Linked DNA regions of Schizosaccharomyces pombe. The gene in region 3 interacts genetically with the main gene of each other region. Each region holds a gene or a part of one and is shown on either strand. Other genes may lie near its edges. The genes, in order: rec7, ynd1 and qcr8.

What was found.
Region 1: mutations in qcr8 (region 3) and rec7 together harm fitness less than expected from each alone (positive genetic interaction), as found in Schizosaccharomyces pombe (one large-scale study listed by BioGRID).
Region 2: mutations in qcr8 (region 3) and ynd1 together harm fitness less than expected from each alone (positive genetic interaction), as found in Schizosaccharomyces pombe (one large-scale study listed by BioGRID).

What each region holds. Positions count from the first base shown.
Region 1 is NC_003421.2:1,547,312-1,551,069, reverse strand, and holds the start of rec7 (meiotic recombination protein Rec7), read left to right. Parts: upstream 1-2,000; coding exon 2,001-2,153; exon of another isoform or gene 2,154-2,210; coding exon 2,211-2,324; exon of another isoform or gene 2,325-2,429; coding exon 2,430-3,182; 3' UTR 3,183-3,758. Other genes in the region: tol1 (3'(2'),5'-bisphosphate nucleotidase/inositol-1,4-bisphosphate 1-phosphatase), read right to left, coding at 5-1,066. UniProt on the Schizosaccharomyces pombe protein: May be involved primarily in the early steps of meiotic recombination.
Region 2 is NC_003421.2:1,460,757-1,464,514, forward strand, and holds the start of ynd1 (nucleoside diphosphatase Ynd1), read right to left. Parts: upstream 1,751-3,758; 5' UTR 1,472-1,750; coding exon 1-1,471. Other genes in the region: elongator complex subunit Elp4, read right to left, coding at 2,497-3,582. UniProt on the Schizosaccharomyces pombe protein: Catalyzes the hydrolysis of phosphoanhydride bonds of nucleoside tri- and di-phosphates. Required for Golgi glycosylation and cell wall integrity. Involved in N-mannosylation of proteins in Golgi.
Region 3 is NC_003424.3:4,765,130-4,768,604, reverse strand, and holds qcr8 (ubiquinol-cytochrome-c reductase complex subunit 7), read right to left. Parts: upstream 1,550-3,475; 5' UTR 1,496-1,549; coding exon 1,464-1,495; intron 1,275-1,463; coding exon 1,257-1,274; intron 1,212-1,256; coding exon 998-1,211; intron 895-997; coding exon 880-894; 3' UTR 699-879; downstream 1-698. Other genes in the region: exonuclease Rex3, read left to right, coding at 1-698; prohibitin Phb1, read left to right, coding at 1,791-2,639; ypa2 (serine/threonine-protein phosphatase 2A activator 2), read right to left, coding at 3,098-3,475.

The DNA.
Region 1 (3,758 bases), on a different chromosome or scaffold from region 3:
CAGATTATTGGGCGACCTTTTGAAAGTGAGGGTCTTTAGATGTTACAGCTGCAGTAGCTTCAATTACCTTTTCAAAAATACCTTTGTAGGCGGCTATAACACCGTTATTGTTCTTAAGAGTTCTTCCTACACCAAAGTCCAAAGGTTTGCCAAACATATCAGAAACAACACCACCAGCCTCTTCAACAAGAAGAGAACCACCAGCATGATCCCAAATTTTTTCTTCAAATGTCATTTTGGTTGGTAAACGAAGGTAGATGTCACCATCACCACGAGCAAGACTAGCGTATTTGGCTTGAGAATCCATCTTGGTAGGTCCACGAGTAATCCCTAAGTACTTTGCAATTTCTTCTTGAGTTCCTTGCATTGAATGACCAGCCTCTACTCCTTCGCAAAATTTTGAATCCTTGGTGTTTTGAACATCTTGCATGTGCACTTGAACTGGTTCTAATTTTTCGTTATGGAGAGAATACTGGAAGCAACCATGGTTACGAACAGCGGACATTATGATACCTTTGGGACTTGTCTCGGGCTGATTAAAGTCATATGGAAGATTAGGGCATCCAATGGCACTTACCACAGGTTTTCCATTCTCAATCAAAGCTAAACAAATAGCATACTGGGCACCACGTAGAAATCCTTTAGTTCCATCAATGGGATCCAAAGTCCACATACGACCATTGCGACCACCGTGATATGATCCTTGGTCAATAATGCTCATCATTTCTTCAGCTGACTTGATTTGACCAAGCTCTTTGTATTCAGTAGCATGTTGGATAGTTTCTTGAACTAATTCCCAAACACGAGAGCAGGTTTGGGTGTTTTCTCTCAAAAAGTCGGAATCCTCTTCGCCAACAATTGGATCATTGGGAAATGCATCTTTTAACATAGAGATTACGATAGCTTGAGCACCAAAATCGCCAATAGTCACAGGTGATTTATCATCTTTAGTAAGTGCCCCAGCAGCACTCTTCTCCTTGATAAGTTGATTAAACACTTTTTCGGTCAAATAGCTAGCTCTGCGCACAGCAGCAATAGCTAATTGTTTTTCGGCATCAAAGCTCATGGTAAATAATTTTCTAATGTTATTTATTAATGGAGGTATGATTTTAGCACCAAATTTCCTGTTAACACGGAGTTTGGAAATTTTTGTAAACCTGGGCAGTGGAAGTGCGAAGAATATGAAATCAGCATATACGGTGTTTAATTGACGTTTCCACATTTAACCAAAAATATTGTTCAAATAGAAGAAAGAACTAAAAAATTGTTATGAAACGAGAAAGAGTTTCATTTTTTCTGACTAAAAGACCTTTTTTTTTTGTAAAATCGCAGGTTATGCTAACTTTTATTAAACAATAATGATTATGTAGTTTCTATTGTGAAAAGAGCATGTTAATATTTTAAAACAGGTTTCTCCATGTCCACATTTTAGGTTTTCATTAATTATACAAACGACACTACTAAAGTCTGGGTATTGGCAAAGCAGTTCGCCAACCCTTCCAACCTATGGAGAAAGGATGAAATATAATATTAAGGAAAAAAAATATCATTCTGATGGAAAAAACGCATAATTTAAAAGCAGTGCAAGTCCGTATCTTGCGTTTCCCTTTAACAGGCAAATATGCCTAAAATTTTTATATAAGTGTAGATACCAAGGATGAAATGAAGGCATAAAAATATTTTAAAGGGATTGATTAGTAAAAGAAGAAACTGCTCATAAAATTTCCTTTCTCTCAAAATACTGTTGTTTGAAGAGACTTGAGAAATTAATGAACAATCAGATATTCCTCAATACAGATTGAAGAAATAGTTTCCTTATGGCAAATTACAATCATATGTAATATATTGTGATAACAAGACTTACATTCCATAAAGTCTAGTCGTTTTCAGGTCAACTCATAAATGTAAACAAAAGTAATACACCGTGACGGAACGTACTGCGTTATCAGATAAATGAGGTTCAGTCTAACGCGTCTTCTCATATTCAAACATAAACAAACATGAACATTTTCCCAATTGTTAAGTACTCTGTAGCTGAGGATTCGTATACTACAGATTCCTCCCATATCAACTGGTCACATTATTCAGATGGAGGTTTTACACTCTCATTAACGTCTGGATTGCTTCAAATTCGTCAACACGAAGAATTAATTGTACGCGACATGAAACCATATTGCTAGAAAAATTCAATATTTTTAACAAACAAACAGCAAAGTATAAACTTGTTAGATCTCTGGCACCAATTGATACCGGGAACGAAGGAAAAATGTCTAACTCTGCTTTCACGCGCTCCGTGTATGAATATTCGTGCTTTCACTAATAATGTAAGTAAAACAAAAGCAGATTTATTCAAAATCACATTGAGGCCTCTTTTTTTAAAAAAAAAAATGGAGTGTTGATGAAGCGTATTTTGTTGTTAATAAATTTAGGTGATGAAAAGATTTCAAGTGAAATTCCCATCTGACGTGCATTATATGAAAGCCAAAGTTGAATTTGAGAAGCTAGGCCTGGTGTTCAAAGATGCAAAGTCTTCCTCTGAGAAGAAGCAATTCAATAACTCCCAAAGTCAATCTAATAACTCACAGGAACTTTCGTTGATGAACAATGCATATAACAAGTCATCGGCGCAACAGCCAAATCTTTTATTACAACCGAGTTATATCCCCATGACCCAAACAGCAACAACTGCTGTGAACAATAGCACAAACTATGTCAATCCAGCACCACTGCAGCATGTCATGCCAAATGCTGAAATCTTCTCCAATACACCACCGCTTAAGCGATTCCGCGGGGATGCGGGCATGACCCAAATGCCCCTTCGAAGTGATACATCAATTGAAAGTATTACTGCGTCACAACAACCCACTTGGGATGAAAACGTGGTGATAACTTCATCACCTTTTAATCCCAATCGTAATGCCTACTCTTACGGTGCAAACTCACAATACCCCATTATTGCTGCTACGCCGCTGAACTCTCAGACACAGGCTTCGTGGGTTGCTCAACCGGAGAACCAAGCATACGCAAATTTGATTCCATCACCCCCAACGACTTCACAAATCCTACCAACAGAACTTACTGAAGAGGAAAAGCAATTACGCTCCAAGGTATTATTCTATCTAAAACAAGACAGCTTCATCCAATTATGTCAAAGTTTGGAACGGGTATGGAACAAGATGTAGGAAGACAGACCAATTCAACTTAATCCCAAATTTAAAAAAGTAGTAAAAATGGAACGAAATCAGGATCGGAATGGTTATTTCGACAAAATTGATGTGTGACCACAATTTGGCAACCAAATGAGAAACTTCATTAAGTTCACATTCTTCGAGTACCGTGATAAAACATTTGTTGCAAATTTTGACATTATTTAACGAAAAGTTGGTCGAGATCTCAACTGCATATGATCGTTGCTGAGGATTAGCAAACAGAAACCGCCAACACAACAATGTTGAAATAAATTTCTCTACTTGTTGCATGACTCTTTTCCCTTAGGCTTGTCCATGCAGAGCATTAAAATCAAATTGAGAAGATCCCGTTCCGATCCTTGGGGTGTAAGCCTCCACCACGACACATAATCGGTATCAAAAGACAACTCTGAAAACTTTTTGATGGGGGAATTGCCGCAAGTACAGCATGAATACTAGTGTTAATAATGGGTCAGGTTACAACGGTTAAAATTGAGTTGGTGGTTGGTTTTGATAATTGACTTAACAATCCACGAGAGGAGTTCATGACATTAAGTACGAAAATGGTCA
Region 2 (3,758 bases), on a different chromosome or scaffold from region 3:
CGAACAAAACCAAAGAGAACAGAAAGAATAAGCAGAAAATAAATGAAAGAATAAAGAACAATTTATTAGGAAATAACCTCATCCAATGTTTTGAAGGGGATGCGATTAGCTTTCCGTATGGGTCCATATAATAATTAGCATATTCCGGTTTTGCTAGAAGTTGCTGATTTGATGCATAAAGCAATACTTGGCCTAAGGTCCAGCTCACTTCGGTGCGTTCTATTTTTTCTAAACTCGTGAATGGAGAATGGTACGCAGGAATTACCGAGAGCCCATCCTTTGCATCATTACTACTTGTATTTGACTTGGGAACGTCGAATCCTTCATGAAGGACATTCAACGCCCATGATGCTTTAAAACAAAGCTTTTCAAGCTTGTTTTCATCAGTACTTGGAGTCAGCTCTTTATTATAAAGACGGGAAAGCATGGTTTCCCACTCTGTACCACAATACTCGTCAACTTTTTTGTAAAAATTAGGGAAATGATAGCTACCGCCCATATCAAACACATCATTAGTCGTATACCAAAATTCCGAGACCCCAACAAATTCAGTATTTGCAAAATCAACAGGAGGAATAGATATTCCATCAAAGTTACAAGGGTCCATGGAGCATGGCTTGTCTTTATTTAATAGATTGTAAGTCAGTTTCAAGCATTGTTTCAAATCTCCAGTACCGGCAAATTCGATCCCATCGATATCATAAGTTCGTCCACGCAAGGAACACGGATCGCTTAAAGTGTTGCCAACTTTTCCGTTTTCGCTTTCTATTAACAGTCCCAAATACCTGCGGTAAGCTTCATTAGCGCCAAAACCGAGCCAGGTAGTAACAAACAAAGGATATTCCAATTGCTGACCATTTTGTAGTCCTATGTGAACGGTCGAAATACTATCCTTGTAATTTTTGAGCTGAGATGGGGGAAGTTCAAAAGCAATTTGCACACTCGCACCGCCCATATCTAAAAAACCAACCGTTGACGTATCTTTTTCTTCAAGTGTCTTAAGGAGATAGTTCGTAGCTAGCCAACCATACATACCTTCAGCTTTGCCATCAATTACACGGATTGAATTTGAGCAATTAGGTATGTCGAAATCGTAATTCTTTTTAATATATCTACAAGCATGCGAAAGTATTTTGTTTTGGGCATCAACGCCCAGTAAACGCATACCAGCTGTAGCACTTAGGAAAACCGGAGTTTCTTTATGTACATCTTTGGGAATAGCATGAGCAGCAAAATCCAGGAGTTCTTTCAAATGCTTCTTCCCTACATGCTTAGGGTTATTGGCAAAGGAAGAAATTCCAGGTTGAACCTTTAAAGACCATTTACCACCATCCCCAATCCCTGTCTCGATTAATGGTAATTTTTTTACTTTATCACTTAAAGAGGAATCGGTATCATAGTCCCAAGAATAAATTAGAAGTCTTGAACCACTAGATCCAGCGTCGATGAAAATTCCATACTTTCGAACCATTTTTAGCCACCTGCACTTATTTTTCTTAACAAAATGTCTCTTTGTCTATAAGACTGGATATTAAATAACTTCGACTCTGAAGATGGATATTTTCATCAAACCAGCCCAATTTGCCTTTTGTTTGTTGATGGTTGAAAGCGCACTATGGCGATGTGAACAATTTCAATATGGCATATGTTCCCAAGATATACATCAATAAAATTCAGTTAAATATATGTATCTGTCTTATCAATGAACCTCTATTTAACTTAATTGAAACATTGAATGAACGTTTGTAGTGGATTATGAACATTCAACTCAATGTTTAACAACTAGCGAATGTATAGGTAGCACATTTTTAGGTGGTAAATCACTATATAGTGAACTCTGTCAAAATGCAAAAAAAGTAAATTGAGACGAATTTAAGGACCCATTCATACGGACTATTGGAATAATCACATTAATTTTGGTCACTTGACTTAAAAGATAATGCGACTAGAATTAAAGAGAAAAATCGAATACGCGAAAACTTTTTGATTTGTCTCTTTAATTTGCTTAGATGTCAAATACTGTTAGTACCAACAGATTGACAATGTTTTGATAACAATCATCAACAATTTACTTCAGAACTGTTTTAATAGAGAAAATAATTGTATCCTTCAAATTTCAACGGTTTAACACTGTTTAAGATTTAAAATGTCATTTACTTACAAGTATTTCATGCACTTTGCTTTAAGATCACAGTAACGGTTCTTCGTAGAGATATTTGACGGCTTTCAGTTCGCATTCTATATTAACTTGTGTTTTAAAGTTTTGATTGAGAGAACGTTTATCCCATTTGACGAACATTTAGATAATTGATCAGTTATCTAGACGGGAGAAATGAAAAATATTTAAACTCGTATGAACAATAAATAACACAAATGCAATGCATCCAAAAAAAATTATAAAATCCATTTACAAACCATAACCATATCACATAACACGAAAACGAGTAGAATTTTAATCCAATTCAATACTCAGAAACTTAGAGGTTTTTTAATTGTCTAAAAATCCAAAGATTTAACAGGCTGTTTTTGAGGATTCGTGTTTGAAATCTTCGTATCCTTTTGCTCATCATCCAGTGGAGGAAGGACCCATGGTTCAATGGTAAATCTTCTTTTCGATACAGTAAATGAGAGGTCTCCAGCTTCATTAGAGTTTGCATGATTGGTAAATGGAAGTGCTAAGGGAAGCTTATGGATACGGAAAAGTCCTAATGGTTGTGTAACTAAACCGTTAACAGTTTCTTTGACCGGGAAAGGATGCAAAGAGAATACGGCGGATGCAAGGTTTTCTAGCCAAAAAATTTGCTCGCAATCTCTTGAAAACAAAGTAGAAGGAACTGAACACATACATATCAAGTGCACCGAAGTAGTGCATTTGATGAGCGATGAAAGTGTGTGAATAAATCTTATGAAATGCTGCGGATGAGTAGCACGGATAGAATAGAAGGCTGGGGACAAAATGGATGGAAGAACTAACCTGCATACCGTACCTGGAGTCAGAGTAGATAAGAATCTCGTTAGACTTTCAATGACAGGGGCGTAAGGATTAGACCCTGTTTCCAAAGGGAATGGAGAAACAGCGTATTTCATATCGCTTTTCACTATCAAATTCTTTGACAAATCAAAGGAGTGAGTATAGCCAGGAGGAATCATATCAAGGGTCGGTGCCTTGGTTTTGGAGACTTGTTCATACCTCCAGGCAATTTTCATTCTTTCTTGCTGGGGATTTTTAGAGGGAGGAGAAGAATGATTATCCTCTCCAGCTGAATTTTCGTTTTTATTAGGCCGGTCGCTGTCGCCTGGAAGTTGACGAAACCACATCTCTCCAATAGATGGACCAAGCCAAATAACATGGTCCTGTTTAAGGCCTTCCGCTGCAAAAAATTTAAGTAGCACAGAAGCATAATCCATCGAATCTTCCTCTATAACCAGCAAACTTTTCATTGGAATGCCGCCAGACAAATAGTAGTCAAAAGAAGAACTCCCAGAGCTTGTAATCCATCTAGCATCCTTTGAAGATAGTCTAACGCCTGTCGGCAAGTTTGTTGGTGCTATTTGAGGTGCTGCTTTCCTTTTGAACGACATCAATACTTATTTCGATTGGTGTACGTGGAATAGCAAATTGGATGGAAAGGTTAACGCGACGCAAATTTGCAGCACACATTTAAGCATCATCAGTCAGAAAACAAAGAAATTCAGCGTTGCGATTGAGAAAATAAAAAATTGTTGACTAAAGTTAATCATTCAATAAAAATACCTTT
Region 3 (3,475 bases):
CTCGAGGACCATGTACATATCATTGGGGAAAACTGTTTCGTGAAAAGCAAGGGGGGGAGAAGATTCGTACATACACTTGCTGTGGTGTAAAAGAGGGCGATTCGTCTGGTTGTATTATAGAAGACAACCATGTGTTCAAATACCGACATCTTCCGTATCTTGCTAGCGTTCATCCATTTTCCTACTTACCAGACAGTACAAATAGCAAGCAATTAAGTCATTGCGCGTTAGATTGTGAACTATGCTACACTACGAACGGGATGGAATTGGCTCGTTTGACGGTGGTAGCAAAGGAAAGCATTATTATGGATGTGTTTATAAAGCCTAAAGGCAAAATTTTGAGTCTCAATACTCGATTTAGCGGGATACATGATGCCAAAGAATTAGAATCAGGAATTACCATGGATCAAATGTATATTAAAATAAAGGAACTTGGCATGAATAAAAATACAATTTTAATAGGACATGGTTTAGAAAACGATTTGAATGCGATGAGGCTTATTCACAAACGTGTCATAGATACTGCTCTTCTATTTACGCATGCCAGAGGCCCGCCGTTTAGATATTCCTTAAAATATTTGACTAAAAAATATCTGGGAACAACAATACAAACTTCTACACACGATAGCGAAGAAGACGCTGTTTCAGCATTACAACTTGTCTTTTATAAGACAAAATCAAATGAAAGTCAAAACTAAGAGTAATAATGTTTTCAAATTCAAGAGATAGATCATATCACAAAGTAATTTTGTTGGATATATAGATTTCTGATACTAAGCATAATGAGAGGAGAGAGATAGTAATTGTAAACCCAATAAGGAAAGGGTAGGGAAGAATTTTGTAAATCCTTCTACCAAAATGAATACTTCATTCTCATCATTATTCCTCCACCAACTAAACCACATATTAGTAAAATGACAATTATTGACACAATTTAGAAGTATAGAAAAATGCTGCAAACCATAGCTGCTTATCGATTCTTCAGTCATTAACTTACGTGTCTTCCATGTTTGGAATTGAGGAATTCATTACGCTCCTTCCCCCAACAGTAAATATAGTAAGCTATTCCAAACGGAATTGCTACGTATAGACCTTCAGTCATGACGCGACGAAACATATTTTGCGTAGAAGTTTTGAAGAAGCCGGCCATTGGTCTCTGTTGAAATGGGGAAAGGGAATATGTTATGATTCCTTTTTGTTTAGGTCCACCTCTTATTAAAGTAAGTAAAAATGTATCAAATTGTTATAGCACTTACAGATGGCCCCACCATCCTCTATTCATGTGTTAGTATAAATAAAAACGTTCAATGATATTCTCAGCAGCTATTTGAATGTATATAACTTCGCTGACGAAAATGGCTTTACGAAATAAACACCAATTGTGTCCACCGTCTCACGCTATAAGCGTCAAAGAAAAGTCATATAACCCATTATAAACAGAAACTGCTTTAAGTTGCACTTACAAATAAGTTTTTCCTCCAGCAGCACCACCCATTTTGTTAAAACAATAATATATTGATGATTGCCGTTACAAAGTCAGATGTTTGTTAAGGGTAAGTGTGCGGGTCTGCTAGACCAATAATAATTCAGACGTTTACAAATTCTTGGTTTTTTATTCAAGATTTTTATTTAGTTTTACTATTAAAATTCTAAATAATAAGATCATGTATTTATTAATCATGAATATAGATTTTCCTAGAGGTTGCAGTTAAGTCATACTTAGTCTTGCTCAAACGGACTTCCCTTTCAGTTTGGTCTTTTAGTCCAGCGCTCAACGTACTATTAAAGAGATGGCTGTAGTACTGGAGAGAGTTGCACGTTATGCAATACCAATAGGTATTGGATTTACTCTATTACAATCTTCGATTTACGATGTACCGGGGGGAAAAAGAGCAGTTTTGTTTGACCGTCTGTCGGGTGTGCAGAAACAGGTTGTTCAGGAGGGCACACACTTTTTGATTCCATGGTTACAAAAGGCAATTGTTTATGATGTACGCACACGTCCACGAAATATCGCAACTACTACGGGTAGTAAAGATTTACAGATGGTTTCTTTAACATTGCGTGTATTACACCGTCCCGAAGTTGGAATGCTTCCTCAAATTTACCAAAATTTAGGCTTAGATTATGATGAGCGTGTCTTACCTTCTATTGGAAACGAAATTTTAAAATCCGTAGTTGCTCAGTTTGATGCAGCAGAGCTCATTACTCAAAGAGAAGTAGTTTCTGCCAAAATTCGCCAAGAACTAGTTCAACGAGCTACCGAATTTGGAATTCGGTTGGAAGATGTATCCATTACTCATATGACTTTTGGAAAAGAATTTACGAAAGCCGTAGAGAGAAAACAAATTGCTCAACAAGAAGCCGAGCGTGCTAGATTTTTAGTAGAACAATCCGAACAAGAGCGACAAGCTAATGTTATTCGCGCTGAGGGTGAAGCAGAAGCGGCTGATATTGTTTCCAAAGCACTTGATAAAGCCGGTGGCGCTTTAATCCAAATTCGTCGTCTCGAGACAAGTAAAGAGGTGGCTACTGCACTTGCTAATAAAGGTGCACAGGTCACTTATCTTCCCTTTGGAGCTGGTTCTAATGCCCAAAGTTCCAGTGGTTCTGGGTTGCTTCTTAATGTAAATCCTTAATTCATTCCATGTATCTGCTTCTAGCAGCAAATTCATAAGGTTTATTCGAGCTCCCCTAAACATATCAGCTTTATCTTATTATCCCTTTAAAATTAAAGAGATGTTATATAAAAGTTGTACTTTTCCACGCATTATGATTTTGACAAATTTGGGTTCTTAACGAAAATAAATATTTCCAAATTTTTTTATTTCAGAACTCAAAATTATGATTTGTCACCTTATTTTTAAAACGACAATTATTTTGGGTTTTGTGCTGATGAAATGGCTATATTAATGCTGCTAAAATTAGGGTTGATTGTTTATGTAGAGTTTTTTTAGCATAATGAAATAAACAAATATGCTGTACTGTTGGTAATTTTATTGACTTTAGATATTACTTTTAAAGTAAACAGACAAATATGGGTATCGCATAAATTCGTGAAGATTCGTTAAAAACGCCTTTTTTCCCTCGAGAATTTTTAATCAAACGGAATCCTACTTCCATTATTTTTGGCAGCAGAGATCGCACTTGGTATCTTGATGCCACAACAGTCAGCATAATGAGAATGAACATGTGTCACCTCAGAATCATCACCGTCTTGGGGAGCAGGAGACATCCCAGGTGAAGCTGGGATTAAATGGCCAAAAAGATAGTGCTGCATTATAGGAAGTTTACCCAAAACTTCTGCTCTATACATTTTTATCATGCCTTCGTTGACTTTAGACCAAGTCTTTACGGCAGAAATATCGTCAATCATTGGAGAATGGAAACGTAGTGAAACAGAAGGCTTCAACTTATTTAAAAAGTAAACATAACCTAAGTACATATAATCAGCGCGACACATCTCCAAAATTTC